Linked DNA regions of Caenorhabditis elegans. The protein of the gene in region 1 interacts with the protein of each later gene in a pairwise test. Each region holds a gene or a part of one and is shown in the gene's direction. Other genes may lie near its edges.

The links.
Region 2: the proteins of dcp-66 (region 1) and aptf-2 interact in a two-hybrid assay, tested with the Caenorhabditis elegans proteins (one large-scale study listed by BioGRID).
Region 3: the proteins of dcp-66 (region 1) and egl-18 interact in a two-hybrid assay, tested with the Caenorhabditis elegans proteins (one large-scale study listed by BioGRID).
Region 4: the proteins of dcp-66 (region 1) and elt-6 interact in a two-hybrid assay, tested with the Caenorhabditis elegans proteins (one large-scale study listed by BioGRID).

The regions. Positions count from the first base shown.
Region 1 is NC_003279.8:7,535,707-7,545,376, reverse strand, and holds dcp-66 (Transcription factor dcp-66), read left to right. Parts: upstream 1-3,217; 5' UTR 3,218-3,365; coding exon 3,366-3,374; intron 3,375-3,729; coding exon 3,730-4,398; intron 4,399-4,719; coding exon 4,720-5,342; intron 5,343-5,875; coding exon 5,876-6,074; intron 6,075-6,117; coding exon 6,118-6,202; intron 6,203-6,791; coding exon 6,792-6,913; intron 6,914-7,209; coding exon 7,210-7,344; intron 7,345-7,388; coding exon 7,389-7,605; intron 7,606-7,768; coding exon 7,769-7,884; 3' UTR 7,885-9,273; downstream 9,274-9,670. Other genes in the region: C26C6.4 (Nucleotide-diphospho-sugar transferase domain-containing protein), read right to left, coding at 9,380-9,542. UniProt on the Caenorhabditis elegans protein: Transcription factor which binds to the 5'-CCATACATTA-3' motif found in the promoter region of pgp-12 and activates its expression in the excretory cell.
Region 2 is NC_003282.8:13,411,379-13,417,627, reverse strand, and holds aptf-2 (Transcription factor aptf-2), read left to right. Parts: upstream 1-1,576; 5' UTR 1,577-1,673; coding exon 1,674-1,685; intron 1,686-2,756; coding exon 2,757-3,248; intron 3,249-3,296; coding exon 3,297-3,640; intron 3,641-3,696; coding exon 3,697-3,952; 3' UTR 3,953-4,068; downstream 4,069-6,249. Other genes in the region: Pelle-like serine/threonine-protein kinase pik-1, read right to left, coding at 720-831; gcl-1 (BTB domain-containing protein), read left to right, coding at 4,739-4,936, 5,993-6,079, 6,124-6,249. UniProt on the Caenorhabditis elegans protein: Sequence-specific DNA-binding protein that interacts with enhancer elements to regulate transcription of selected genes. Required for neuroblast and epidermal morphogenesis, perhaps acting in cooperation with transcription factor aptf-4.
Region 3 is NC_003282.8:1,909,854-1,918,338, forward strand, and holds egl-18 (Putative transcription factor egl-18), read left to right. Parts: upstream 1-3,592; 5' UTR 3,593-3,618; coding exon 3,619-3,744; intron 3,745-3,789; coding exon 3,790-4,320; intron 4,321-4,831; coding exon 4,832-5,077; intron 5,078-7,270; coding exon 7,271-7,507; 3' UTR 7,508-7,985; downstream 7,986-8,485. Other genes in the region: Transcription factor elt-6, read left to right, coding at 8,124-8,264. UniProt on the Caenorhabditis elegans protein: Probable transcription factor. Involved in embryonic development and in vulval development in larvae, acting redundantly, at least in part, with elt-6.
Region 4 is NC_003282.8:1,916,295-1,923,825, forward strand, and holds elt-6 (Transcription factor elt-6), read left to right. Parts: upstream 1-1,682; coding exon 1,683-1,823; intron 1,824-2,257; coding exon 2,258-2,374; intron 2,375-2,877; coding exon 2,878-3,094; intron 3,095-3,248; coding exon 3,249-3,475; intron 3,476-3,538; coding exon 3,539-3,727; intron 3,728-4,763; coding exon 4,764-4,838; intron 4,839-4,910; coding exon 4,911-5,048; 3' UTR 5,049-5,350; downstream 5,351-7,531. Other genes in the region: Putative transcription factor egl-18, read left to right, coding at 830-1,066.

The DNA.
Region 1 (9,670 bases):
CTAAGCGAAATTTTTTGAAGTGATCCAATAGAGGCCAGTGCGAATGTACTTATGCTCCAAAAACTGTAAATATAAAGCTATAATCAGGTGGGTAGGTTTCTAAGACGAAGAATCCTCTAAGATTTCTCTCTTTTTTAATCGCAAGCCATAAAATTGGTGCCTGACTCGTGGAATCATGAATGGTTTTCAAGAGAAAGGCTAGTTTTGAAGTGAAGATGCGGCGTGGTTATTGATTCTGAAATGACAAACAAACCCTCCCAATGTGGGGGGCCTAACTCACCACCACACATAACACACAAATTCACTCATCAGACTTACACTCAAACACTCACAGCATACTCACGGGGGGCAACAGAATTTAAAATTAGTCACGAAAATGGCAGATGTTCTTTAGTTAACTCATCTTCAACTTATTCGTTGCGCTTCCGATCATCACCTCGAGTATGTCTCTATCTTTTGGCTGTAATCAATCTGCAAAGTTTTAGGATCGCCCAGTTTTTAGGAACGTTATAGTCTTTGGCGAAAAAATTGTTTTTAATTTATTCCCACACGTTGCACTTGTCGTTGTGTCTTCTATCTCTCAATTCTCGCCTTATTCACATTAGCTGCCTTCTTCGGTGATGTAACCCCCCTCTTTCGTCTGTCGTCGCTCTTTTTTGTGCCGGTGCGGCTACTTGGGTGGTGGTTTGCAGTTTGCAGTTTGTGCAGTTTGCGTTGTCCTAGAGCGGTGTGCATTGATTTTTGAGCAGGGTGTCCCAGAGCCCGGGCGGCTTGAAGACACGCCCACTGGCGCTCTACTCAATTTTTCAGTGGAATATAGAAAGGGATGATGTTTCGCATTCTCACATACTCACAATTGAAATTTCATGAAAGCCAAAGCTGTCTAGAAGTTTTCCATGGATTTTCTGTATGGAAGCTCTTGGTCAGGAAGATGAGAGTAGTAAAACCATATTTTCAAACTATTCTGAAACTGATTTATTGTTTTCAAGGCATAGTAAGATGGTCGCTATTATAAAACTATTTCTGTTATAACTTTTATATTGATAGATCCTATTACCATATTTTGGAGCAATGATCCATCTGATTTACGCATCACTTGTGAGTAGATATGTGACTGATTTATTTCGAACAAGGAAGTTTCAATGACTTGACCTCGTTTCGCTGCGGGTTTCGACCATTATGAATAGGCTTTTTTTTTCTAGAAGTTGGTCATCTCTCATTCTTCTCTTCTACCGACTTATCTCGCATACTGATAGGTTGCCATCAACTCTAGATGGACGCATAGATCCTAGCGTAATTTTGAGGTTATTCTATTCTTTTTAGAAGACAATTTCGGTTGTGATGATCTCAAAGTAGCGGTGTCCTGGTTTAGAAATTTACCTTCCGATGATCCGATAATCAGTAGTAGTCATCGCACCTAGCTCTATTTTTTGGAAACTAAAAGTTTTGTTAGAGACTGTATATGTAGGAACACTGTTTTGTTAGATTTTTAGTCTTTCTGAACGCGAAACATAGAGTTTCGAACCTAGAAGTGTTCAATCAACACCGAATTTAGATTCAGCTCCCGACGTGGGGAGAGTGGTTGCGATGTTGGCAGAGCAAGTAGGACATGATGATTAGACGTTTGAGCATATTCAGTTGGACAGCTGCTGCCGTCTTGGCACCACCTATATTGAATCCCAGTTGGGGTCAGGTTCGGGCCGTGTGAGATGGAAAGAGAGAGAGAAAGTAGGGAGAGAGTGAGTGTGTGCGTTTTGTGTGTGTGAGGGTGTGTGTGTGTGTGTGTGGCCGAGTGTCATTGTTCGAGTAGAATGAAGCGAAACAAGAAATAATCGATTGACTTATGTGTCCTCCTCCGCCTTCCTTCATCTTCTTCGTCCGTCCGTCCCCGTCCGTCCACGCACCCTCAGCCGCTCCTAGTGGTTTTCAATCTTCATCCTAGTCTTCATCAGCATCATCGTCGCCGTCATCTCAATTTGTTTCTCACGCGCTTAATGTTTGTATTTGTGAATGTGCCAAGTACTACCACCGTACTTGTCGGTGCAAGACACCACCATTTTAGTGTGTTCTAGAACATTTTGTAAGAGAAAAGAAGTCCACAGCTCTTCCAAATCTATTCCAAATATATTACTTTCAGGACTGAATTTTCGCTAACATGGTTTTTGGTGGATTACCGTTTCATGAATTCCAGACTATCCTAGGTTAAATTTACGGAGACTTCACCTAGTTGCGTATCTCCAACCTAATTATGATCCTTGAACCAATAATTTTGTATTGTTTCTCTAGCCTGCAGTACAAAATTAGTTAAACCTCATAGTTTCGAAATTGGTATTTTCACAAAATTCGCCACATTGTATTTTTCTTTAACTATAAAAATTCTACGATATTACCATCTGCATTGCACACAAAAAACATTCTTTTCCAATACTGTGACTTTAAAGGGGGTGACCATTTATTCGAAATGGTCCCGCCACGCGCTCTAGCGTGGCGAGACCATTTCACAAAAATGCGCTCTCCTTTAAAGTCGCAGAAGTGTAGAAATTTTTTTAAATTTTTTTTCGAAAAAAAAACACTGTTTGTGTCGTTTCTTGTTGACCTCTGCTTCACTAAACGATTTTTGAATAAAGATTTGTTCTTTAGTAGATTCTGACCACAAAGAACCCAGAAACCTGTGAATATTTCCAAATATCAGTATCTCAAAATTGCTCTAATCTTAAATTGTTTTGTATGGAGTTTCGCGAATCTTTCCAGTACGGCCTAAGCAAAACTAGCAAAACTAGAAAAAGAGTTCAACTCTCCACCACGGGAAATATGAATAACTCTTGGAAAAATTGACACGAAAGTAGTGTGGTAAAGTAAAGTAGAAAGTAGAAAGTAGGTGGCTTTTGATGAGTTGTAGATGATCACGTTCATCAAACATTTCAAAAGAAAAAAAAACTTAATTTTTCCCATGATCATCTCAACCTCCTTCCCTTTTTTTCCCTAATAACATTTTGCTTTTTTCTCTCACTATCTGCGTATCTTCTTTCTATCATCATTCCCCATTTTCTCTGCGCTCTCTTCTCTCTCTTATTGCTTTTATATTGGGTGAAATGATGTGACGTCACACGGACACCACCTCGTTTTGGATATTCAAATCTTTTGTTTTACTAATCTGCGTCTCTTTCTTACACTACACTATAAGTGCCGGTGACATTATAATTTCAACTTTTATTCCAGAACAAACTCAACACTAACTGATTGCTGTTGTTCTCTTGGACTCCAATGCAAGCTCTCGACGAACGGTGTTAATCGATTTTTATTTTGCTCCGCTCCACTTGAGTTTTGACTGGATTCCATTTATTTAGTATTTATATACAATAAATATGGCACAGGTAGGTGTTTCTATTTACAGTTATATTAAACGAACTCAAAAAATATTTCGTGTTTGGAATATTCAAATTTAATATTTATTATGTCAAGTAATTTTCATTAAAAATGGGGTAGCGAGTTCGATCAATCTAAATACTAAAATTAAAACTTACTGAATTCCGAATTCAGTTCACAAAAAATAACAAATTTTGGAGAAGACTGAAGGTTTACCCTAATAAATGAGAAAATAAGCATTTTCAGTCTATTTTTGGACAGTTTTAGTGTAATTTTAAAATTTTTGCTACCTCAAATTTAGTTGAAAATTAGAATCTTAATTGAAAAAATTCGAATAACTTTTTAAACCCAATGTTTTTAAAGGTTCAACAAGTTCCATCGTCACCTATGAATGGGATTCCTGAAAAGAATGGAAATGGTTTGAGTATCGAAGAATCAGCTTCAACAGCCGTCGCTGCACTTGCACATATTCAAAATGGAGCTGTTCTATTTCATGGAACACCTACAAAAGATTTGAATGGAGCTTCAACATCAATCGATACCGATGATTTACAACTTTCACCGAGTGATCTACGGCGGCGGAGTACACGAGCAAGTGCTCTGAAGGCTCAGGAAAAGATTAAACTGAAAGATGATATTGTACAAGGACCACAAAAACGGGCGAATGATGATGATGATATGGAAGATGAAGAGTTGGGAGATGAAATTAATGAGCAATCAGCTCCAAAAAAAAGAAGACTCGAAAATGGAAAAGAGTTTGATCAAACATGTTTCCGATTTGGACTTCGTGCGAATAATGAAGGTGAAGTATACGCAATGACTGATGAGAGTGAAAATTCTTCAATTCATGAAAGTGAAATGGAAGTTGTGAGGTATCATTATGAAAAAATGAAGAATAAGGAACCGGATGAGGAACAATTAAGAGAACGTTTAAATATGAGAAGAGAAGCTGAAAATCAGTTACGAGAAGAAGAGGCAAAATTGCTAGTTTTGAGAAAAATGAAGGATAGTCAGACAAGAGCTATCACCAAGGTTCGTTTTCTTCACTATTCGAGAAATAAAAACGCCAATTTTAGATAAAAGTGTAACTTCACAAATAGTTTAAAAAAATTTTCATCATAAAACTCGCAAAAATTCCGGATTTTTGCCCTGAGAGAATTGTAGTTAAATTTTCGGCGAGTTATGATCTGAGAATAGGAAATGCTTCAAGTTTTATGCTGATAAAATGTTTCATTCAAAAAACACACATTTTCAAAAAAACCGACAAAAGTGAAGGAAACTCTTTGTGAAACTGAAATCTGTATGAAATAAAAATAAATGATCAAAACTTTTTTGTATTAATATTTTTTCCAGCTGGCCGCCGAAACTAAAGCTGCTGATCTTGCTGAAGCGACATCTGCAGCATATAAACCAGCGGTTGCTACAAATGGAAAATCTGTTACTAATGGAAAGAATTCGATGATTGAGTCAAATAACAAAACAATGAATGGACTTAAGAATCTTTCAATTCCACAACAACTCGAATTACTTCAAAAACTATCATCTCAATCACCAGCTGCCAAACAAGCATACATTATGGCAAAGAAGAATCCAGCACAAACGACTCAACTATTCCAACAACTGATTACAATCAATAATCAAAATCTTCAAAAGCAAAAAGAGCTTTCTGCTGCTGAAACAAATGCTTCTGCATCTGCATCACCTGCAGTACAACAATCTCAACAAGCACAGCAACCACAACAGGCTCAAATCACACAATCAAAACTTCTAAATCAACAGACACCTGCACAAAGGATACAAGCAGCTCGGCTGGCTTTCAGAGCTCAAGCTGATAAGCAATTGACAACAATTCCAACACAAAAAAGTCAACCTCATGATATCACTTTCCTACCGAATCCGAATGCTTCTGCATTCCTGGCATTGCATGGATTGGATCTAGTGGTTCAGCATGTTCTCAAAGATAGATCTAATGAGACGTGAGTTTTTTTTCAAACTATGATTTGTTAAAACACATTGTGATCACGGGTGTCGTCGAAAAAATGTGGAGACTTTTTCAGAAATATTCGGAAAAATTGTTGAGAAAATTAACAGACAATTTCAACAATTTGTTTATTTTGATTTACTTTTTTATAAAACAGGAAAAATTACCAACGTTTGAAAATTTTTAGATTTTTGGTTTTGATCAAAAGCGAAAAACGAACGCTTTACGGTTTCAGAAAAACTGAATATTTCAGAATCATTTCCGGAATTACTTTTTCTGTTCCGGCTCGTATCACATTTCATACAAACAGTCAAAATTTCAAAAATTGTTGAGTTTTAGGTTTTTGAGCCAAACTGAAAATCGAAACACGAACATTTATAGAGTTTTCGGTTTCCTGTAAACGAAAAAAAATCAGACCGGACTTTAATTTCTCAAAAAATGTTTGATAATTGCATTAGAAACTAAAAACCTCGAAAGTTTTAATGTTCAAAATTGAAATGTTTTCATTAAAAAAAAAATTATATTCAGACCATATGCCGGACCATCATACGAATGTGAAGAATGTAAAACCGAATGTGCTCACACTTGGAAAGCTATTGGAAGTACACAAGATGATCTTCATCTTTATTGTGAAAATTGTGTACGATCAGCACAAAAAAGGAAAAATCGAACAGATCAGACAGCTTTATTGAAGAGAGCTTTCCAGAAGATTACGGCACAAGAAAAGGTATTTATTTCGAAATTTAACTGATTATTAAACGAATTAAAAGTTATTACAGGAGTTCGAAAAGAAAATTGCCGAAGGACAATTGGAGCAGTACGCAGAAGCAAAAGCTGCAGCACCTGCTACATCTCGTTAGTTTTATTATTTGAAAGTTAAAATAGTAATATAAAAGTATAAAAATTGTGTCCGCTATCTGAAAAAAAAACTAAAATGATCTAAATCATATTAAAATTATGAAAAGAATTAGTTTTGAAAACTATAGATCTTTGCACTAACTACAAAAAATAGGGTTTTTGTATATCATAATTTAAAAAAAAACCAATTATATAATTTTAAATAAAATTTCCAAACAAATTTTTTCCGACAATTCTTCAATTTGAAAAATTTTAATACAAATATTTTCCTTTTTTTACAAATATTTTGCTAATCTATAGTTTTTTCTTCTTTCAAAAAAATTTCGTCATTTTTTCCCGATTTTTCGACTTTCAAAAACGCAATATTTCTGTTTTTCGGTTTTTAAAATTTTCTCTGAAAAACTCTAAAAAATCGAAATTTTTTAGACGACGATCGACGCCTAAAGTCATTGTCACATTAATAGTTGAACAGTTTAATTCCAAAAAGTTGGGACTAATACACACGTATTTTTAAAAATCGTTGTATTGCTGTTAAAAACTTTTTAAAAAAATTCAAATTCCCCGATGCGAATAAAATTAAATTCAGAAACAATACCAACATCATCAACAGCAACTGTTTCATCAATTCCACTTGTACCACGATTACCACAAATTCCATCATCAACTGGATCAAGTACACCAACACAAGCAGTCAAGACGTCAACACCGGTTAGATTTTTATTTTCAAACCAAATAATTCAAAATTGAGGAATATACCTGGGAAAATATTTTTTACAGTTAAAAAAGTTCAAAATACAACATTTCCAAAAAGACATATATTTTATGAGCTTTTTATTAAAAATTTATAACATTTCGCAATTTTCTAAATTCGTGTATAATTTTTTCATGCAAACAGAAGAAAATAGGCATTGAAGAAGCTTGATGTTACTTTAAAAAATTAGTATTTCTAGACATTTTAAGTAATATCAAAAGTTAGGAAAAAACAATTAATTTTGAATTTTCAGATACACTCGACACCAAAATCATCAAGTTCAAGTGCAAAGAAGACTGCAGCACAATTGCAACAACAAAGTATGCAAGGAATGAATCAATTATTCAGTACAGCAATGTTGAGAAATAATCCTCAAATGCAACAAATGGTATCACTTTTTTTTGAAATTTCAAAAAATAAATCCTTTTCCAGTTGCAAATGTACCAAGCTTTAGCTATGGGAGGAGGGGCGGCAAATATGGCAAATAATCAAATGGCCATGCTATTCCAAGCACAAGCAATGCAAGCTGCTCAGGCTCAAGTCGCACGAGCTCAGGCGGCAAAAGCTCAGGCTGCACAAGCTCAGGCCGCACAGGCTCAAGCCCAGGCACAGGCAAATAGAGAGGCGAATCAACAATCAATGCTAATTCGTAAGTGTTTTTTGGGCGATTTTGTGAAAGATTTAGAACATTAAAAATTGTTTATTACGAGATTAGAAAGAAAAAATTGTGATTTTCCATTGTTTTCTGGTTGGAATATTAACATTTCAATCTACAAAATTGATCGAAAAGAAATAAGTTTTAAACATTTCAGAAGCTCTCATGAGTAATGGTCAAGTGAATGTTCAAGCTCTCCAACAACTTCAAAAACTGACACCTGAACAACAGAAAGCGCTGATCGAAGTTGTCAAACGTCAAACGAGGAAGTGAAAATTTCAAACTTTTTTCGGTTTCTTCAATTGATATTTTATTTCTACTTTTCCTCTATCCACTACCGACAACATAACAAAACTTGTTTCTGATTGAAATCCGGGTTGTTTTTGTATGATTTTTTGTATTCAAATATGATTTCTCGGCATCTCTCTCCCTCTCTTTCTCCTACACTTTTTAAAAATTTCCTTTTTGCAAAATTCAGACGAAGTTTCGAGAAAATCTGAAAATCCACGTGCTTTTCCATCACGGTCATTCTCCATTTTCCTGTAATCATATTCCCATCGCTTTGATTATTTTTATTTCCACAATCGCCACCCCCACCCCCACTATTATCGATTAGTATCCCTAACTTGTAACTTCCAAAAAATTGACGGTTTGTACCAAATATGCTTCTTCTCTTATAGTCTTGATTTTGCTCACTTTTTTTGATATTTCAATTTCAGTGATGTTCAAAGTTCAGATTATATTTGAAGAAGTATACATCTTTAATTCCAAAATTAGAGGGTGTTGAGTTTTTTTTCTAAAACTATCGAACGGATGTGGTTTTATAATTTCTAAATTAAATAACTATTTCGCTTTCTTTTTCCCTTAATTTCCCCCTCTCTCGTTCATATTTAACTTATTCTTAAACCGTTTTTTCTTTTCCTCTATCCACTACCGACAACATAACAAAACTTGTTTCTGATTGAAATCCGGGTTGTTTTTGTATGATTTTTTGTATTCAAATATGATTTCTCGGCATCTCTCTCCCTCTCTTTCTCCTACACTTTTTAAAAATTTCCTTTTTGCAAAATTCAGACGAAGTTTCGAGAAAATCTGAAAATCCACGTGCTTTTCCATCACGGTCATTCTCCATTTTCCTGTAATCATATTCCCATCGCTTTGATTATTTTTATTTCCACAATCGCCACCCCCACCCCCACTATTATCGATTAGTATCCCTAACTTGTAACTTCCAAAAAATTGACGGTTTGTACCAAATATGCTTCTTCTCTTATAGTCTTGATTTTGCTCACTTTTTTTGATATTTCAATTTCAGTGATGTTCAAAGTTCAGATTATATTTGAAGAAGTATACATCTTTAATTCCAAAATTAGAGGGTGTTGAGTTTTTTTTCTAAAACTATCGAACGGATGTGGTTTTATAATTTCTAAATTAAATAACTATTTCGCTTTCTTTTTCCCTTAATTTCCCCCTCTCTCGTTCATATTTAACTTATTCTTAAACCGTTTTTCTCTCCTTTTTCTGAATGTTCTTAAGACTTAGCGTCGTCATCTATTCATGTGATTTTCTTCTGTTTTATGAAAATTGCCCTTCTCTCGTGCAAAACGTTCCATTTTTGATAATCAGAAATGTTTTCAACAATTAAAGGTTTCGTTGAATTTTTATTGGTTTGAAACGGCAATTGGAGAATTAAAACATTAATACCCGAAAGGAACAAATGCAACCCGAAAAATCAACAATAAGCATTTAAAATTGAAAAATCAGAAATCTAGACTAAAGTATAATGAACTGTTAGAAAAACTTTGTTATTATAACGATCAATATTAAAAATATGTTTATACATATAGTGTAATTGAGTGAACATACTCTCTCCATATGGACTTTGATCCAAAAGTTTCAATTTTTCGGGAAACGCTAATCGTACGGCGTCTCTGAAAAATTATATAGGATTACGGAGGTTATTTCAGTAATGTAACATTTTCGAACAAAAAATAATGTTTTCCAACGAGACTATAAATAAATATATAATGGAGGTTTTAAATTGTAGTACGGTCAATGA
Region 2 (6,249 bases), on another chromosome or scaffold:
CAAAACTATCTGAAAACACCGAATTTCATAATGAAACTTTTTGAAAACTTCTCAAAAAATAGTTATGACAGCTCAAAAAATGACCTAAAATTTGTTAAAATTTGAAATTTGACCGACTTGTAAAGCGGCTGGAAACAATTTTTTTGAAATCACCGTCAAATTTTGAGTATACATGTCAATTAACTTGCGTTTTCGACTACTACTTTACAATTAGGTATTTTAAAGTCGATGGACGGCGAGATTTGGTTTAAAAAAATTGTTAAAAATCTCGTCGTCCATAGACTTTAAAATACTTAAATCAAGTTGAAAACGCAAGATAATTAACTGGTATACCTACAATTAGACGGTGATTTCAAAAAAGTTCGTTTCCAGCCGCTTTACAAGTCGGTCAAATTTCAAATTTTAACTTATTTTAGGCCATTTTTTAAGCTGTCATAACTTTTTTTAGAAGTTTTATTAAGAAATTCGGTGTTTTCAGACAATTTTGAGTCTAATAAAGCAATAACAAAAATTCGACTACACCACCTTTAAAGGAAAACTATAAAAAAATTCGATGAAAAATCCGCAGATTCGAATGTTTGAAATAACTATTCTTTAAAGTGCTTTAAGAATTAAAGGCGCACACCGTTTCGCATATAACAAAAATTTGTCGTTTCGAGACCCTATTTTTGGAGCAAAAACCGCGAAATTTCAATGATTTGTTATAAAAAAGTCCGAACCAATCGTCTCCCAAGTGTTATCCGTATCTAAAATCGCACATATTTGCTGGAGAACTTCTCGTTTCATGAATGGAATCATTACAACTTCTGATACTCCAAGAGAATCATCCATTGTCTCTGAAAAATTCCAGATTATTTTTAAAAATATGTATTTAAACAATTTTAACAAGTTTAATTTTAAAAGAGTAGCTAATCAAAAATTATTTTGCTTTATTAAACTAAAAATGGTCCCAAAATATCGAATTTCATAACAAGACTGTTCAAAAATGCTTTTAAAAGGTTTATTTCCGCTAAAATCTCCAATTTCACCAACTTTTCCGTTTCACAGCGATCGGAAATTGATTTTTATCTGACTATTGCCCTATTTTGCTCATTTTCCTATTTATCTTCTGTTTTTTTGTTGATTTAATAGTTTGGATTTAAAAATTAAAATTTTAGATGATAAATTAACGAAACAACGCAAGAAAACCAATAAAAATATTCAAAATAGAAGAAAAATCAAATAAAAATCAATTTCTAACCGTTGTGTAACGAAAAATTGGGAAAATTCTATTTTTTCTTCGAAATTAATTTTTTTCTCGTTATAAAATTCGGGGTATTCGGGCCTTTTTGAGTATAATAAAGCAATAAAACTCCTCCTTTGATTGGTTTTTTGAAAAAATGTATAGAATGTTTTGAATGTGTTTTTATTATATTTTTAAAAATAAAAATATTTTAAATTAAAATTAAAATTTAATATTTAATTAAACTTATAAAACGAACAATTCTGAAATTCCAATAAATCCAAAAGCGGAGGAAAGCGGAGTGTCGTCACTTCCTCTCGTCGTCTCATCCCTCTCCCTCTCTCTACATTTTCTCTCTCTTCCATTCCATTACTTGGCACATTCTTCTGGAGATGTCACCTAGAAAACAGATGTTTTTGCAACACTGGAAGAGTAGATCAATAATAAAAGAATGGATATACAGGTGAGCGCGCACAGATTTGATCTCCACACCATAAACGATTTACAACCAATGAGGTCAAATATTGTAGAAGGCATTCGATCTACCTTATTAATGTCATTTCTTTCTTCCCTTTTTTTCAGCTTTTTTTTTGCTTTTTTTCCATAATTTGGAGGTCTGGCAATAACAATTTTACTTTCAAGCTGGAGTACCGAAATCTGAGACTTTGTTTTTTACACCCAAAATAGCCCAAAAATACCGAATTGGTAATGGGACGTTTTGAAAATTTCTCAAAAAAAAGTTATGGCAGTTGAAGGTTCTGGAAAAATGGCACATTTTCAGCTAAAATCAAAATTTTGGTCAACTTCTCGGTGTCACAGCGTCTGGAACATCATTTTTATGTAATTATCACTATTTAAAGACTATTGCGGTCTTCTATTAAGCGTTTATTCGTTGATTTAAACATATTTTCGGTAAGTGGGACACAAATAAAAGTTACATTTTTGTGCCCCACTGACAATAAATGTACTTAAATCAACGAATAAACGCCTAATAAAAAACAAAAATATTCTTTAAAAAGTGATAATTGAATCAAAATTAAGTTCCAGACGCTGCGACACCGAGAATTAGACAAAAATGTTGATTTTAGCTGAAAATTAGCCTTCTTTCCAGAACTTTGAGCCACCATAACTTTTTTTTTTGAGAAATTTCCAAAACGTCTCATTACACAATTCGGTAGTTTTGAGTCATTTTGGGTCTAAAAAAGCAAGGGTTCAGATTTCGGTACCCCATCTTTAAAATATTCAAATGGATCCAAATGCTGAAATCCCACAAAATTAAGTTTTAGAAATACAGTTAATTTCTGACGAATTTTTCAACTTTCTGCCGAAATTGATAAAAAAAACCAAAGTGCGGCACAGAAAAATGGGCGTGGTTAAGTGGCTAAAGTGCGGAAATTCAAATTATTCAAAAAAGGATATTATGAAGAAGCGAAAATTCGTCACAATCAACTTTTTTGTTAAACTCTGTAAATTTATATTGTCTGCTTTTGAATCCATTCGCGTATTTTAATTTATTCATTTATTACTTTTTCAGATGTTCACCACGCTCAACTCTACTGTTCCAACGGAACCCGTGGTGGGACCTGTGGAACCTACAGTACCTACAGTACCCGCCACAAAAGAGACTGGCCCTTCAAGCTCTGCAGAGTGCTCTACCCAACCCGCCGTTGCCGAGCAAGAAGACAACTCCCTTTTGGCACAACTTTTAAAAGGAAAAATCACGTCTGATGATGCAAAGTTGCAACCACCACGTGGACCTTTCGAATACGCACCGATGCTCTCCGAGGAGGCACAATTTGCGATTAAGCTGGCGGGTCTTCTCAACCCGAATCCGGTCACTGAACAGGACCCGAGCACTTTCAAGCCGCCTCCGAAAATGAGCAATAATGTTCGAAAAAACATTAATTTGACTCCGGTTATTGAGAATGCAGTTCCGAGTGGATTTGAACTGGAAAGTCCGAAAGATCAGGCATTTGATGTGGTTCATGGAAGACTATCTATGGGACAGAATCAGACATGTTATTTTGTACGTTTACGGTAGAAGTTCAATATTAAAATTTAAATAATCTTCCAGGTCACAGTCGAGGAAATGAGACGAAGATTGCAAAGTCCGGAGAAGCTCAATAGTTCGAGTATCGCATGCAATCTTAAAAGGCCAAAACTGAAGAATGGAGGTGAACTGATGCGCGCTCAACTGAGAGATCATGGAATCAAGGTTCAACTGAATGCGAAACAGAAGGCTTTTCCCAACAAAGTGATCGCTTTGGTCGAAGCGGAAGCTGTTCATTTGGGACTTGATCTTGGAACAGCTGTACGAGATGATTATCCAGTTCAAGATATAATTCAAGAAGTTGCTCATGAAGCATTGGCTGACGAGGATGCAGATCTGGATGCGTTGATGAATGATAAGGATTTCACGTAAGTTGACTATATTCCAATTTCTCAATTCTGACGCCAAATTCCAAATATTTCAGAGAATGTATGTCAGCACTTGAATCAGTTTTCACATCAGTCGTCCCTCCGATCACTGGAATCGAGCCAAAACCGTCGAACAACATGCGACTGAACAATGGAATGGAGACCTTTTCATCAGCTTCACATGGACTTGGAATCGTGTCTCAACGGGTTTGGCTCCCCCAATTGACTGCAATCGGAAATGGAGTCGCATCTGAACTTCGACGCTTGACAGAGACGCCAACTGAATCAAAGCCAGAGGAATTGAAAGCATAAATTCATATTTTCATATTCTGATATTTAAAACAATCTGATTACCAAGGTCTCACTTATTTTCCATGATCTCTATGATGTTTTCACTTAATTTCAATGAAACTTTTTATTTATTTAAATCCTCATACGATGTTCCTTAGTACTAGGAAATGCATCATTAAAAATGATTTTCATATTGCTAGTACGTCTTATAGAGTAGCTTCGAATTCACTTTATACATTTGAATAATATTGAATTTTATAGGTTTTACACATCATTTTGATCATTTTGATGTGTAAAACTTTGAAAAATTCATTATTATTCAAATGTATAAAATGAATTCGAAGCTTCTCTATAAGACGTACTAGCAACATGAAAATAATTTTTAATGATACATATTCCAAAACTGAAAATTAGGAATTTCTTTACCCCCGTTCCTCACGTGAAAACATTTATTGACCCTGTGGCAATGTGCGCTTGCGCGTCTGCGTCTCCAGAAGGCGTAATCTCTCGTGTTCAAACACTTTCTCAACTGACCATTTGTTTGCGTCGTTGCCGACGGCTTAACCATATGTTGCCTTTTCCCCCTTACATTTATACAAGACAGTAATATTAATAAATCGGTTTGATCTACAAAAATGCGGGAATTTTTTGGTCAAAAAATGTGACGTCAGCACGTTCTTAACCATTCGAAATCAGTTGACAGCTCTGCATCTAAATTCCCGCATTTTTTGTAGATCTAAGTAAATCCAGCTGAAATGAGCCATCTGACACCACGTGATTTACTGAAACATTATTTTCCAGTCAAAAATGGGATTAGCTCAGTCCCACTCGCGGACGCCCTCTCGTGATCCACTTCCAAATGACCATCAAGTAATGGATGTGTATGAAGAGTCTGGTCCAAGACGGGGAAGAAAACGAAAAGCGGCAAAAGGAAGTGAGATTGAGATGAAGAAAGTGGCAAAACTGAACACATGTGCATATGTATATCAGAAATTGTTTTTACAGGTTAGAATAAATTGAATTTTTAGTGCAAAATGGGTAACTAAAATATGGAGTTGACTAAATTAATGCAATAAAATTCCAAAATGAATGTTTTGTTTCAACAAATTTGAGATTTCTTCGTCACGAATCTGGTAAATTGTGTTTTTTTTTAATTTTGTAACATGGAAAAAGAAAAAACTGATTATTTAGTTCGAAAACCTACATTTTAGTATTTTTTCACTAATTATGCCAACTATATACCGTATTTCCTCTATTAGTCTTGCATGCAAGAGAAAATTGCCAAAATTGTTACTATTGTGCTGAAATTTTATTCTCAGAATTTTTAAAATTACAGGCAAAACAGGGCCACTCGTAATTTTGAACGTCTACCAAAAATTGATTTTTACTATGATTTTGGAATTTTTAAAATTCCGGAAATATCGTAAATTTTTCCAAAAGTCCAAATTTTTTGAAAATTTGACATTTTATCAAAGATTTTTTCGGCGTTTTTCAATTGAGACATATCTTTTTTTCGCATTTTGAGTATGCAATTGATGAAAAATTTCAGAATTATCACAAATTTCAGTACAAAACAGTTTAATACTGAGAAATTAATTTTTTAAAAACTTAATTTTCACAGGTATGTAGTTTCAGAAATTTTCACTCAATCAGAGGTGCGCGACAATCGAGTTTTCGGCAATTTCGGAAATTGCCAAACATTTTGAAACCCAGCAATTGTCGGAATTGCCGGAAATTTCCAAAACCGGCAATTGCCGAAACTGCCTATTGCCGAAAATTTTGAAAACCGGCAATTATCGGAATTGCCGGAAATTTCCAAAACCGGCAATTGGCGAAATTGCCGGAAATTTTGAAGACCGGCACTTGCCGAAAATTTCCAAAACCGGCAATTGCCGTAAATTTTGAAAACCGGCAAATGTCAGAATTGCCGGAAATTTCCGATTGCCGCCAAAAAACTATGACCATAATTATTTTGAAATTCCTTTGTATAATTAGTAGGGAAAGAAAACAATTCAATTGAAAGAAATTTGGAAATTTTCTCAAATTTCGTTATTTTTTCAGGGAGAAAATTCGGACATTGTCCTGGCTGCGTGTGGCAGGGAATGGAGGGTTCACAAGCTTTATCTAAAGCAGACCAAATTTTTTGAAGTGAGTTTTTTGAATTGTTTCAAATTAATTTCGAATGCTTTTAGTCAATGTTCGATGGTTTATGGACAGAGTCGAATAGTGGAAGAGTTCAGATGGAAATAACAGATCCGAATATTGACGCAGATGGTCTAAACTCGGTGCTCGGAAGTCTATATCACAATGAGATTGAG
Region 3 (8,485 bases), on another chromosome or scaffold:
TGTGTGTATGTGCGTGCGCGCACAATGTTTTATGAGCCCTTTAGGGTTTTTTCAAATTTACTATTAGTACGGCCAGGAGAATATATATAGGGTGGGCTGTAAATTCGGGTGATACCGCTAGGAAATCCGGTGGTTTTGTATGTGAAATGTTATAAAAATGCATTTTTGAGGACAAAAATTGCAAATTTCGGCTCTAAATCGTTCGAATTCCGCATTTTGGCATATTTTCCAGCGTTTTCTATCGCAAAAAGGACAATATTCAGCCGAAAAAGTGTGCTGATGCGTCAATTTTTCTGCTTAATTTCGAGAATTTCTTGATTTTCAGTAGCGATTTTTATTTTTTTTTTATCTACGAAAAATTGGGAAAATACTGATTTTTTTTGTAAATTTTCTCTTTAAAATCGGCGATTTAGAGCTTTTTTCAGCCGGACTTTGACATGCTATAGTAATTCTTCAATAAAAAATTGCTAATAATGATCACGTGGTGTCAGAGTGTCTCATTTTGGATTGATCTACGTTGATCTACAAAAATTCTTTTCGCATGGTGAAGAACGTCACATATTTGTGGGAAAAATATTCCCGCATTTTTTGTAGATCAAACCGTAATGGGACAGCCGAGCACTACGTGAATGATGAGACTTCCAAAAAATTTTTACGTTTTTTTCCACCACGGTCAAAAAACCACATTAATTGATCTACATATCTTTGGCAAGATTCCAAAAAGTAGGTTTTTTGGTAGATCAATTTGTGGGTTTTTTGTCGTATGTATTTCACTATTTTGAACCATTTACAAATTTTTTTTCCCATTTTTTTAAAGAATTTTTTTTGGAATTTTTGGAATTTTTTAATTTATAAAAAAAGATGTTTTAGAGACTTTCAAAACCGGGCAGCTAAATTATTTTGCAGGGATCATTACTAGCACTCTTTTATCGAAAAAAAAATACTATGGCATGTCAAAATCCCCGTTTTCTGACTTCCCTTGTTAGAAATTAAAATTTGGCTTTTTAGGATAGGGTAGTGAAATTAAAATTTTGCCGATTTTCAGCAAGATTTCAAAAAATGTAAATTTCCTAGATTCCCTTTCGCTCAGGGCTTTAAGCTGCGAAATTTTGGCAATTTTTGAGATTTCCGGTTACTTTAACGTATTAAAAAGGAAATTTGGCCGAATTTCAGCAAAACTCGTGGTTTTCGCTATTCGGAATTTCATCAGAAATATCCTGGTTTTGTTTCCTTGCGGTGCCTGAAAAATTCCACGATCTTTGGCAGTTTTTGAGATTTCCTGGATTTTTTTCGACCTCTCAAAATTGGAATTCTAGCTCGATTCGGCACGGATGCTTCCTGAAAATTCTGTAACCTTGGTGATTAGGTTTCCCTCAGACCGTCCTCCACCACTGAAGACCCATGAACTTATCAGAGGATCCGCCGCCAATGGGTTCCTATCCGTGTCGGAGCGATAATCATCGATAATCTTTCTTCTTCCTATCTTTCTACACTTTCATGGGGCTTGTCTTTCCTTGTCCCCCCTACTAAAAGATGCTAATCTATATCTAACAACCCCCTCTCTCTCTCTTCCCGATCGTGCGCAACTGATTCGGTGTTAACACGCGTGTGACGACGGCCCAAATAAAGGAAGGATGTTGAGGAAGAAGTTGAGGCAAAAAGAGAGAGACTTCGTTTCGAAGAGAAGATCGCAATCAACTCTTCTGATCAGCAGCCATCCAATCGAATCGATAAGAATGTTTGAAGATTACCATCTTCTCACTAACATCGTCACACACACACACACATACACTCACATTCTCCACTGCATTCCTTTGTTCGGACTCATCACGGACTCATCACCTCATCGTTTCTTGTGTTAGGACACCACTGTTTACGGGCTCTTAGACCGGTTATGGTGCATCGTCTCCTTGTCAGATGGACCACCAGGGTGTTACCGCCACACAGGTTCTCGGCAGGTGTTATCTGAGATTAGCTGAGAATTCAGCCTTGTCCTGGAAAATTGTTTGATTTTTTACCTGGCATATTAGCTCAGGGCTCGGTGAAAGCTTTTTCACAGATTTCTCCGCTCGATTCGACCAATTTTGAGCATTTATACCATGGGTGGCCGGCACTTGGCGTTTTGCCAATTTTTTTGTCGGTAAGTTGCCGGTTTGCCGAGTTGCCGGAAAACTTCAATTTCGGCAATTTGCCGATTTTCCGGAAGTTGCAATTTTTGCCAAAAAAATTCCGATTTGCCGTTTGCCGTACATAAGATTTGCCGGAAATCATAGAATTTGTTTACTTTTCAAAAGGATGCGTACACTTTTTGCCGATTAAAATTGGAATTCAGAATTTAAAAAAAAACGTGCAAATTCCCAATTTGCAGAAAATGTTCGGCAAATCGGCAAACCGGCACATTGTCGATTTGCCGGAAATTTCAATTCCGGCAGTTTGCCGATGTGCCGCCCATCCTTAATCTATACCGAAACTCAAATTTTCAAAAAAAAAATTTTTTTTTTAAATTGATAAAAACTATTGTAGCAAATCAAAAAAATGTTTAAAAAAACATGGCAAAGATTCCAATTTTGTTTTTGGAAATTTTGTAATAAGGTGTTTTAGAGACTTTCAAAACGCCATCACTTTGCTGTACCTGAACCGGGGCAGCTGAATTTTTCGGAGGGATCATTATTAGCACTTTTTTATCGAAAAATTACAACGGTTTTCCGGCAAAATCTGTTTTTTTCCAGCTTTTTTATGCAAAAAAAAAGACACCAATTTTGAAAAATTGATATATTTCGAGTTTCCTTGACACTTGGCACAGTTCCAAACAACTTCCGTTATCGACAAGCTAAAATTTGGCACATCTACAATTATCGATTAGGTTTAGTGTCGGGGTGATACTACGTGCATAATTTGTCGTACAACAACACAACAAATCGTCTCCCCTCTTCCCCCCCCCCCCCCCCCCTATCCACCTAATTTCCACGTTTGTCCGGCTGGGGGAAAAGGGGCGGAGACGGGCGGTGAGTAGCGTTCTTCTCCACACAATATCCCGCCCATTTTCTTCGCGTTGATCAGTGTCATTTTATGGTTATTTACTTGTTGGTCCATTCTTGTCAGTAAGGAGGGCCTCCCTTTTTAAAGTTTTGACCTATATTTTTGATTATTTTTTGTCTAGTTTCAGCTTGAACTAAGCCGATTTTAGGCCGAAATAGTCCGCATTTTTCTGATTCATAGCTTAAATTTAATCTCCAAATTGCTAATTTTGAGTAGATCCCTATGTTTATGCTACGTATTTTTAGCCCCAAATAGTTTTTAAATAGGCTTTTATTGATAAAAATTGACCCTTTAAGAATTAAAACTAAGCTATTTATCGGCCTGAATTCTCCATACAAAACGGCTATTTTAGGCCGTTTAGGCCGTCAATTTCTGGTACCTCCATAGTAGTACATTTTAAGGTTCAAATAAAATTGTCCCCCGAAAAATCAGTTTTTTAGTCCAAAATCACCCATTTTAAGCCCTACCCCAACTCTGTTCAGGTCAAAATTTTATCCTCGTACTCTCTTGATATTTTACTTCCCCTGCACATTTTCCCTCTAAATTTTCCATTTTTTGCAGTGTCTCCACACAGTCTATATGTCGATCAGCATAATGACGGAAACGAGACCAGAATCCGCCGAGCAACAACACCACGAAGTGCTCCAGAGGCCGTCAGATGAGCCGTGTAGTGGTTGCAAACAGTTACAGAAGGATGTTGCAAAGGTAATTTAGAGCTCAAAAAACCATTAACAATTAAAAAATTTCCAGACAATCAGCATGGTTATGGAGCGAATGGACAAACTTCAGTATCGGCTCGACGAGCTGCTCAAAGAGAACAATGAGCTGAAAAGCTCATCGGTCTCATCGGGAAAAGCCTCACCATCACCGGCAGAGTCGAGGAGCTCTCCGAAGCTTGTCGAGACAGTAGTCGCTCCAGTATCAGGAGCCCGGAAGCGGAAGCCCAAGGAGCGGAGCCCACCGGCAGCTGCGAGTCCACTTCCAGACTTTTCGAATTTGATGAACGGATTCATGTTTGATCCTCTGAATATGTCAAATCCAAATGGAATGATGCAATTATTATCAATGGTTCAACAGCAGCAGCAGCAGCAACAACACCACCAGCACATTGAGAATCAACAATCCGTGAGCCCACCACAATCGAAATCCGTGAAAATTGAAGATCCAATGGATCAGGATGTGAAACAGGAAGAGTCGGAGCGATCCGATATCCCGACGGCTACAGAGGCGCAGAACCTTTTGGATGCACTAACAGCACAGTTTAGCAGCAACGGACAGGCGGTAAGTGTTGAGGAAGGGCCAAAGGGGGGGGGGGGGGGGGGGCGAACAAAGGAAAGATATATCACCCCGGGAGGCGGCGTTCGCTTTTGAAAATCTACCGCTGCGCGATTTTTTTGCACTTAGGATTTCTAGGATCCTGATTGGATTTAGGATCTTTCGAGAACTTTGGGGAGAAGTTCCCGAAGCTCTATGATCGGAGTTCGCAGGGTTCCTTGAGGAGCCTACTTCTGGGGAAACCCTTGTGAAGGTCCGGAAGCTCCCAAAGTTGCTCAGGATCATTGCGCACCTTGACAAGCTTTAACTGCTGCCCTGACTTCCAGCGGACTTCCAGCGAGCCCTTGAAAGTCGCCAGGATCCATTGAAACCTCCCAGAGCTCCTTAGCTGCTTTAGGGTTTTTCAGGATCTTTGAGGAGCTTCTAAGATCCACCCTGAGTTCTTTAGGATCTCTGCGATCTTTCAGCAGCTCCTTCAATCAATCAATAAATACATTCACTCCTAATCACATATCAGTTCTTCCAGACCTCCACCACATCTCCACCATCATCATCATCCCAAGTACAAGCGGTCATCGAAGCAGTCGCCACACCATCATCCCAAAGCCAAGACAGTTCAATGTTTGAGAAAACCGAGACGAGTGGTGATCCGAACGCGGCGCGATGCTCCAACTGCCGAACCGACAAGACAACCGCGTGGCGACGTGACGCCGAGGGGAAGCTTGTCTGCAATCCGTGTGGGCTCTACTATCGATTGCACAAGGTTTGTTCGTCGTGTTATTCATTAGCAGAAAGATATTAGCAGCGACAGTAGAGTAGCAGCAGTAACAGCTTCTAATGGGGGGAATAAGAGAGTGTTTGTTATCTGATGCGAATAGAAGGAAACAACCTAGTTAAGATAGCGGCAAAATGAGGGGAAAATAGGAGTGAAGGAGAGGGGAGATTGAAATATGAGATTAGCTTCTTCTTCTTCTCCATCTTCTTCGTCTTCTTACTTTTTATGTGTTAGTTGTGCGACTGATATTGATCCGAAGACGATTTCTAGGTCAGTTTGGCTAGATTAGGATTTTCTGATCCTTAAAGGCTCTAAGATCTAAGCTCCACAAGCTATCCTAGATCTTATCAGAAGGTTCTCGGGTCCTGCCGATCCTTGAAGGCTGAAGATTCGCTCTATCCAGGTTCTAAAGCTGCTCTAATCGTTCTGGAGAATGTTCGGATCCTGGTGATCCTAGATAGGCCAGAGAGCCTGTGATAACCCTCTTAGCCTGGCAATCCTGGGCTTCAGGTGAAGATTTCAGATCATCTGATCGTCCCATATGCGATCCTGATCCTTATCAGAAGCTCTGAGTTACTTGGTTCTTGTTGAAGATCCCCGCATTATCAAGAATTTCGAACTCTACCACCCCAGTAGGTCAAAAGTACAGTACCTCCACCTTCTCCACCTCATCATCATCATCATCTCCATCATCATCGATACAGTATCTACCTTTCTTTCAATTTCCATCACTTCAACCATTATGTGGTCGTCGTCATCGTCGTCGTCTCCACCTCGATAATTAGCGTATCGGCTGCGGCGGCGGCGGCGGCGGCGTGCGTGCCGCAGAAGGAGACGAGTCAATGATTACCTGTAACTCGAATAGACTTTCCACCTCTTCCTTTTCTTATTCATTTTAGGAGAAGAAACGACGACGACGACGTCTTATTGTTCACCACCGGCACCGACAATTAGGGGGAGATGAAACTAGTGCACGCGTGCGCGCGCAAACAATCCAGCCTCAACGTCGTCATCATCATCACCAATGACTTTTTGGTTCCGCACGCCAATCCATATCGAAACTTTGGCGGCGGGGGTAGTTGTAGGGAGGATCCTGAGGATTCTGAGGATCTTAAGAAGCACCAGAGCTTCACTGTTTCCTGGAATAGGTCGATGATTCCCGAGGTGGAACATCAGAGAATAACCTAGCAAGGATATCCCAACAATCTTGAGGCGATCGCTCAAGATTCTGATGATCTGTAGAAGTTTCATTGGTTCCAGTGATTCGAGGATCCTCAAGATTCCGGTGTAAGGTGTAAGATCAGCTGATCCATACCCAAGAAGACCTTCCATTAGTTCCACTGGATCAAAAATTCGGCAATTACGGAGTGATCCCCCTCTCACCACCACTTTGTATCTCCCCCCTCCTTTTGCTGATACACGTACACTCACTCTCACCCTAATTGCCCACCCCGCCGCCGTCTCCGAAGATGGAAGACCACCACCACCCCTATTGTTGTCTCTATTGTGTGTGCAAATTGAGAAGAACGTTCCGCCCTTAGATGGATGTGTGTGTGTGTATCTAATATGGCCAAGGTTATGAAATTGGGAGAAATGATAATTGGCGGTGCAGGAAACGGGACGATCACGACCGGACAGACCAGATGTCTGATTAGGAGACAGGTGGATCCAAGAATCTGACTTAGGATCCGGTGAGGCTATCTAGGACAGAAGCTTGGTGATAATGGAGATCCCAACGAATTCTTTGATATGCTAGAACAACCGGAAGTCTTTAGATCGAAGCTTAAGCCAAAGGAGACCTCCGATCCTTCCGATCCTTCCATCGCTAGGATCCCCTACAGCCTCTAGTAAGAACATTCACATCATCTGCGGATCCTTCTAAAATTTACCAGCGCGAAGATCTATCCGAAGGATCTTTCCACCGATATCCTGAGATCTGAATTTTCTGGGAAAATCTACAATTCTACAGAATCCTTTGATAAGATAATTCTGACCCTTATGCTGCTTGGATTTCTGCGCGATCGATTGTGGCGATCAACCACACTGGGATACTTAGGATCTTAAGGATCCTCACAGTACCCCCCCCCCCCCTCTTAGAAGCTCCTAAATGCCTAAGGATCCTTCCAAAAGCTCACCCAGATCCTTCCCACCTTAACAACTAATTCATTTTCCAATTTCCAGGTTCGCCGACCAATAGAAATGCGCAAAAACCACATCCAACAACGCTACCGCCGAAAGAACAAGGAAAAAGAGTCGTCGGCGGCAACACAGATCTTCAACCAACTCCTCACACAAATGCCGACGATGGCGACCGGCGGAGTGAGCACTGATGGAGCCATCAACACATTCAATTTACTCGAGCAAATCTCGCAATTCACGCAGGCTCAAGAGCTCATGAATAGCAGTGCCACATTTTAATTATCATTATTATTTTTTCCCCCTTCACATCCTTTTTATGCACAATACCTTTATGTAATTTTTCTTATTTATTGAAATTTGAAATTTGAAATTCTCCATAATGTATTATTGATTAATAAGCAATCCTTCATCATTCCATTACCCCTTCAGAAAAATACAGTATTAAATAATTTTCCGCCAATTTTCTAATAATAATTGTGCCCCATTTCCCCCAACTTCACCGCGTGTTTCCGACTGTGAGCTTTACCTCCTCCTCCGACAACTTATAATAATAGTTAGGCTCCGCCCCATTCTGCAGGAGGCCCCTCCCCCAATTCTCTGTGCATGGTTGTGTTATATTCACCTCCTCCCACCACTTTGTCATTTCACTTGAATCATCATTTTTGCATTTTCATATTTATTTTGAAAAAATCTCATCTCACTCTCTCTCTCTCTCCTTATCTCTTGTGGTTTTTGACGGATAAACGTATGTATCTCATTCTATCACTTTTAGCTTTTAACTTCGTCCTCTCGCTCTCTCGCACTCTCCCCTCGCTCCACAGTCTCTCTCCGTCTCTCTCTCTCTCTCGCTCTCCACTTCTTCTTCTTCTAAAACAACGTCACACGTGATTTACAGATGACGTCGTCGAAGGAGGAGATGCCGGATGAGATGGTGAGCCGGGAGGTGGAGGAGGAGATGGAGGATCGGGTTGAGGAGACGGCGACTACAGCAGCAGCGTGCACCGGATGCGCTCAGCTTCACAAGGATATTCGACAGGTGCATATTATTTTGTTTAGCAGTAGGCTCACGCGCCTGCCTACTCTCGACATTTGGCTCCAGCTTCTTGCCCAAGTTTGGCCTAAAAAATATTAACTTGGATAAGAAGCTGGCTAAACTTGGGCAAAAGTTGGGCAAGACTTTGGCAAAACTAAAATCTGGTCAGACTTCTACCCAAGTATAACTAAAAAAAAGAAAATTTTGGACCAAAGTTTGGTAAG
Region 4 (7,531 bases), on another chromosome or scaffold:
TTCGGCAATTACGGAGTGATCCCCCTCTCACCACCACTTTGTATCTCCCCCCTCCTTTTGCTGATACACGTACACTCACTCTCACCCTAATTGCCCACCCCGCCGCCGTCTCCGAAGATGGAAGACCACCACCACCCCTATTGTTGTCTCTATTGTGTGTGCAAATTGAGAAGAACGTTCCGCCCTTAGATGGATGTGTGTGTGTGTATCTAATATGGCCAAGGTTATGAAATTGGGAGAAATGATAATTGGCGGTGCAGGAAACGGGACGATCACGACCGGACAGACCAGATGTCTGATTAGGAGACAGGTGGATCCAAGAATCTGACTTAGGATCCGGTGAGGCTATCTAGGACAGAAGCTTGGTGATAATGGAGATCCCAACGAATTCTTTGATATGCTAGAACAACCGGAAGTCTTTAGATCGAAGCTTAAGCCAAAGGAGACCTCCGATCCTTCCGATCCTTCCATCGCTAGGATCCCCTACAGCCTCTAGTAAGAACATTCACATCATCTGCGGATCCTTCTAAAATTTACCAGCGCGAAGATCTATCCGAAGGATCTTTCCACCGATATCCTGAGATCTGAATTTTCTGGGAAAATCTACAATTCTACAGAATCCTTTGATAAGATAATTCTGACCCTTATGCTGCTTGGATTTCTGCGCGATCGATTGTGGCGATCAACCACACTGGGATACTTAGGATCTTAAGGATCCTCACAGTACCCCCCCCCCCCCTCTTAGAAGCTCCTAAATGCCTAAGGATCCTTCCAAAAGCTCACCCAGATCCTTCCCACCTTAACAACTAATTCATTTTCCAATTTCCAGGTTCGCCGACCAATAGAAATGCGCAAAAACCACATCCAACAACGCTACCGCCGAAAGAACAAGGAAAAAGAGTCGTCGGCGGCAACACAGATCTTCAACCAACTCCTCACACAAATGCCGACGATGGCGACCGGCGGAGTGAGCACTGATGGAGCCATCAACACATTCAATTTACTCGAGCAAATCTCGCAATTCACGCAGGCTCAAGAGCTCATGAATAGCAGTGCCACATTTTAATTATCATTATTATTTTTTCCCCCTTCACATCCTTTTTATGCACAATACCTTTATGTAATTTTTCTTATTTATTGAAATTTGAAATTTGAAATTCTCCATAATGTATTATTGATTAATAAGCAATCCTTCATCATTCCATTACCCCTTCAGAAAAATACAGTATTAAATAATTTTCCGCCAATTTTCTAATAATAATTGTGCCCCATTTCCCCCAACTTCACCGCGTGTTTCCGACTGTGAGCTTTACCTCCTCCTCCGACAACTTATAATAATAGTTAGGCTCCGCCCCATTCTGCAGGAGGCCCCTCCCCCAATTCTCTGTGCATGGTTGTGTTATATTCACCTCCTCCCACCACTTTGTCATTTCACTTGAATCATCATTTTTGCATTTTCATATTTATTTTGAAAAAATCTCATCTCACTCTCTCTCTCTCTCCTTATCTCTTGTGGTTTTTGACGGATAAACGTATGTATCTCATTCTATCACTTTTAGCTTTTAACTTCGTCCTCTCGCTCTCTCGCACTCTCCCCTCGCTCCACAGTCTCTCTCCGTCTCTCTCTCTCTCTCGCTCTCCACTTCTTCTTCTTCTAAAACAACGTCACACGTGATTTACAGATGACGTCGTCGAAGGAGGAGATGCCGGATGAGATGGTGAGCCGGGAGGTGGAGGAGGAGATGGAGGATCGGGTTGAGGAGACGGCGACTACAGCAGCAGCGTGCACCGGATGCGCTCAGCTTCACAAGGATATTCGACAGGTGCATATTATTTTGTTTAGCAGTAGGCTCACGCGCCTGCCTACTCTCGACATTTGGCTCCAGCTTCTTGCCCAAGTTTGGCCTAAAAAATATTAACTTGGATAAGAAGCTGGCTAAACTTGGGCAAAAGTTGGGCAAGACTTTGGCAAAACTAAAATCTGGTCAGACTTCTACCCAAGTATAACTAAAAAAAAGAAAATTTTGGACCAAAGTTTGGTAAGAGTTGGGGGAAACTTTGGTGCAGCCTGAATCCAAGTTTTGCCCAAGTTTTGCCCAATTGCCAACTAGAGCCAAATGCCGATAGGCAGGCATACATGAAGTAATTCTCGGATTACCAGAAACATTAAATTATTTTTCATTTCATTGAGAATTTCTGAAATTCTAGGAATTTGAATCGCCGCGCTGAAAGCTCCGGTCTATTCGTTTTCTTACAGGATGTTTCAAAAATGATGTCGAAAATTGACGAAGTGTGCGGAAGGCTTGAAGCTCTTATCAGTGAAAAGGAAAAAGTCCTGCTTGAGCAAATGTCCGAGAGCGGAAGCGAGGAGAAGGTGAGATTTTTGACAACTTTTAGCGGCCATGTTGCAAAAGTTCTGCGGGAAGGAGCTGGTGGAACTTTAGAAATAAGCCAAAATGGGCTGAAACTGAGCTTATTTCGCAGCATTTTCCCGCCGCCTGACAATTTTCGAGAAAGAAACTGAATCTGTTTTAAAGTTATTTTCTCAGTTTTTCGCGATTCTGAGCCATTCCCAAGAAACTTGTTTATTTTTGCATCCACGTTGATCATAACTTCCTGCTGTGTCCCGTGGTGCCAGGCTGTCCCATCACGGTTTGATCTACAAAAAAATGCGGGATTTTCTTTGTTTCTTCAAGTAATGTGACGTCAGCACGTTCTTAACCGTGCTAAATCAGTTGAGAAGTCTGCGTCCGAATTCTCGCGATTCTCGTAGATCTACACGTAGATCAAACCGAGATGGGACACTCTGATACCACATGTCATAATTGTAATTTCTGGAAATCAAGAAGACCAAATCACGAAAATTTTAAATTTCAGTATCCCCCATCACCAACTGAAAGCCGTGCTTCTCCGTCATCAGTCGGAAAGTCGAATGGAGGGTGCCGCAAACGGAAACCCACCAAAGAATCTGTGAATCGACATTTGGAGAATGGAGGTAGTGACTCGCCTTTTGAGAAAATCACAAGGAATATTTCGACGCCGGTTTCCGCGAGCTCTCCGTTTCCCGATTTTCAGAATTTCAACGGGTTTGTGTGTAAGTTTCATTGACTTTAGAAAAATAAAGGTTCTTAGAGTGATAAAGCTTTTAATAGAACCACATAGACCTTGGAAAAGACCTGAAAGAGCTGCCATGCCTACCTGCGCAGGATATCCCAAGATCTTTGTACAAATCTTTGAAAACTTTTTAGTCGATCCCATGGCCAATCCACAAAATATGATGAACTTGCTAAACCTTGTGCAGCAACAACAACATCAAGCCGCTGCTCATCACCATGCTCAACAGCAGGCGAGAGAGCAGAAGCCCGTAAAAGCCGAAGAGTCAAAGCAGCAGGAACCGTCGGAGAACAGAAACCAATCGCCAAGTGCGTCTGTTGAGCAGACTCTGCTCGATCAGCTCTCTATGCAGTTCAACGGGGTTAGTAGCATAGTCTTCAGACCAGACTGCTAAACCAAGACCTAAACCAAGTCTAAATTCCAGAAATCACCATCACCAACAGTACACGCATCCACCGCCGCGGCGGCTGGTAGCTCGGAGGACGATACAAGTGCCAACTCGTCCATCTCGAAATGCTCCAATTGCTCCACAATAAAAACGACAGCGTGGCGAAGGGATTTGGAGGGGAAGCTTGTTTGTAACGCGTGTGGATTGTATTATAGGCTGCATAGGGTGAGTTGGCTGAAAATCTGAGGGTTACTGTAGGTACAGTGGTTACTGCTGGAAACTCTTACAGAGATTGAGCCCATAACTACTGTAGAGAAGTACATGACGCCTAGCTAGCACTCAAAAAACCAAAAAAGGAGCTTCAATAGTGTTGACCCAATTCAAAACACACAACCTTGACAATATATATATATCCGTCGTCGCGTTTCAAAAGATAATTAGAAGATTGCGCGTACGCTCGTCCTCCGATTACCTCTTAGAAACCCATAGGGGCTGCTGATGTTATGTACTACTTCTAGCTACTGGTCCACTACCACCACCACTACCCATCTCGAAAGGTCGTTTCCGACTACGACGACTAATTATCGATGAAAATTGAATGGGTTTTGAGTGAGTGAGGAGGATCTTGATGATGGTTTTTGTGGTCAAGAAAGAGAGAGAGAGAGAGAGAAAGAAGGAAAAAAACCAAAAGTGTGAGCGAGTTAACGAGTTAAGGGAAGTATTGAATGAATCTGGAGAAGGGATTTATAGCTTAGGTTTGGCTTATATTAGGCTTAGGCCTAGGCCTACATTTAGGCGTAGGCATAGGCTCAGGCTTAGGCTTTGGCTCGGCCTTAGGCCTAAGCTTAGGCTTAGGCATAGGCTTAGTCTTAAGCTCAGACTGAGACTTAGTCTTAGGTCTAGGATTTGTTTTAGGCTTAGGCTTAGGCTTATGCCCAGGCTTCAGCTTAAGCATCGGCTGAGGCTTAGACTTAGGCTTATGCTAAGGCTGAAACTTAGCCTTAGGCTTAGGCTTAGGCTTAAGCTTAGGCCCCCGAACTACTTTTTGATGTTACCGCTGGTTTTGAGAAACTACACGTCCGAAAAGTCTGGAACCTAAAACCTTGACAAATGACATTCGGATAACCGGATGTTCGGTTTGTGAGCCCTAACTGAACCAAATAACTCGCAGCATTAAAACGTTTAGGATTCATCTGTGGAGAGACCCAATTTCAGACCTCATTTTTCAATATTCTCCCCCCTGAACTCTACAAATTTTCAGACACATCGGCCGGTTCACATGCGAAAAGATTTTATCCAACAGCGATTCCGTAGAAGAATGAGGGAAGATGAAAATGTGAGCCGTTGTTTTGCTCAATTTTTTTCCAGCGAAAAAAAAACTCTTTGGAAAAAACTCTAAACTTTTCAGCCAGCAACCAGTCAAGCAGCCGTTTTCAGTCAACTTCTCGGCCTACCGAGCATGGCTAACGGTGGAGCCAACGCGCTGACCTTTCTCGAGCAAATTAATCAGTTGAATCAGTCACAGGAGCAGCGCAAGTCTCCCTGATTATTATATTTTATTATCTCGTGTGATATATCCCCCAATGTCCCCTCCCGATCAACTGTGAGCTTTATCAGTATTTCCGTTTTCACTTTTCCAACAAAAAATCCCACTGACCCCTGCGGTGGTCTCTGAAAAAACAAAGAATCTCAACATTTTTTTTTTTGCAATTTAAATTTTTATTGTATTCCCCCTTATTAGAAGTGCAGGTCTCTTTCACTTTGTCGCAATATCTGAACAGAATAATCCCAGCACCGAGTTTATTTGTGTGCATATCCATGTTCCTTTAATAAATATTATCATGCAGGAAGGAAACTTTTAAAAAGGTTTAAGCTAGTTTCAGATCAATGAAAGCTTTAAAAAAGGGGAAACTTTTGGGTCCCGCCACGAAAACCTACAGTAACCCGGAGAACTTCATGGCGGGACCCTGTAATTTACAAAGGAAAACATGACATTATTGTATCCAGATTGAAGCTCTCAGATTGATGAATTCAATGTTTAAAATTATATCCCACCACGAAATTCCCAGGGTTACTGTAGGCTTTCGTGGTGGCCCAAATTTTCTCAAATTTCAAAGAAGTATGGGAAGCTCATATTTAATTAACATCTCTCAATTGCATAAAAACCTTAAAATCTGAAATTTCGAAATTTGAAAAAAAATTTGGGTCTCAAAACGAAAATTCTGAAAATTTGTCCAAACCTCTGGATTTTCAATTTTTGGTATTTTTCCTAGATTCAGCTCGCCGAGAGCTTCAAAATAAGTATAATCATGGCTAGGTTTTGATAGTTTTGAAAATTTTTGGGTCCCGCCACGAAATCCCTCGGGTTACTTTCGTGACTTTCGTGGTGGGACCCAAATTTGTCATGATAAGACTTAAATTGAAGCTATTAGTGAGCTGATTTCAAATATATCTGTAAAAATGGACATTTTTGGGTCCCGCCACGAAAACCTACAGAAACCCGATGTTTTTTGAGTGTCACTGTTATGTCTGTTATTAGTTGGCCAAGTGTTTTAAAATAAGTATAATTATGTCTATGTTCAATCAATTTTCAAAAATTTTTGGTCCCGTCACGAGTTTTCGTTTCGGGACCCAATATTTTTGAAACCTTATTACAACTGATTAGATTTGAAAGTTAAAAGCAAGTATATTTAATAACTGTTATTTTAATAAACAAAAAAAATTAAATTTTTTTTTTAATTTCCGCAAATATTTGAAATTTTCACAGTTATTTTGTTATTCAGCGTATTTTAAAACTTTAATTTTATTAAAATTAGTATTAAAAAATCTTATAAAAATGTTTAAAAATCCAAAATTTGACAAATTCAAGGTCCCGCCATGAAAACTACCGTAACCCGGGGATTTTCGTGGTGGGCCCTGACTTTTTTAAAATTTTAACAACTTAATGAAACATTTGAGTTCATCAATCGGAGAGCTTCAATTTGAATACAACCATATAAGGGTCCCGCCGAGAAACTCAATGGGTTACTGTAGTTTTTCGTTGCGAGACCCAAGAATTTCGGAAACTAATGGAAATGGGTCATGATTATACTTATCGTTAAGCTCCAGGCGAGATGAGTGCAAATTCGGAAGAAAAATTTTGAAAGTTTTTGAAGAATTTATTTTGTTTTACTTTTTTTTCGGAATTTTTTAAGTTTCAAATAAATGTTTTTTCACTCGATTTTTTAATCAAGTTTATTCTAAATTTTCAAAGTTTTCAATAAAAATAAAAATTAATAAAAAAAAATTTCCCGTCCAGTCAGTGCTCCACGGAGCCCCCACTATTCTTCTGCTCAAGGACATACATTTCCGGTGTATTTCCCCCGCAGCCGCCCGTGCCTATTATTCGTTCACCGCATTCGCAATACTAGTTGGATACACAGCGTTGTAAAGACAATTCGAATACTAAAAAATTTTGCGAAAATCTGAGAATTTTTAAACGTCCCAGAGAATTGTTACGTTTTTTTTTTCCGGAGAATCGGAACTTTTCTTTGATTTTTCCGGTTTTTTCTTATAAAATTGCATTTTAAACGATTAATTTCCCCTTTTTACTTCCAGTTTTTGAAAAAAAATTGGCAAAAATATAAGAATTTTAAACTTTAAAACCCCCATGGGTCCTATAGGGCGTCTGTCGCAAAAAAACCATTTATCATATTTTTCTCATTTCCTTTCTCAGTGATTTCTCGAAAAACTATCTGAAGGAACTAATATTTCGAATAAAATTATATCCTCAACATGAACAACTGCGCTCCATTGCAAATCGACAGGTCTCGCACGGATTTTCTCGGGTTTTTATGCTGAAAATTGGGAAACTTGAGTGAAATGTAACGTTGTTTTTGAATTGCAACCCTAAATTTGTTTTTTAAATATTTTTCTCATTGTCCGACCAAAAATCGAAAATTCAGATTTGCACCCTCAAAATCTTTTTTTTGTTGGATTTTAAACAAAATTTTCTTCAAATTTTCTATTTTTAAATGATTATTTCCGATA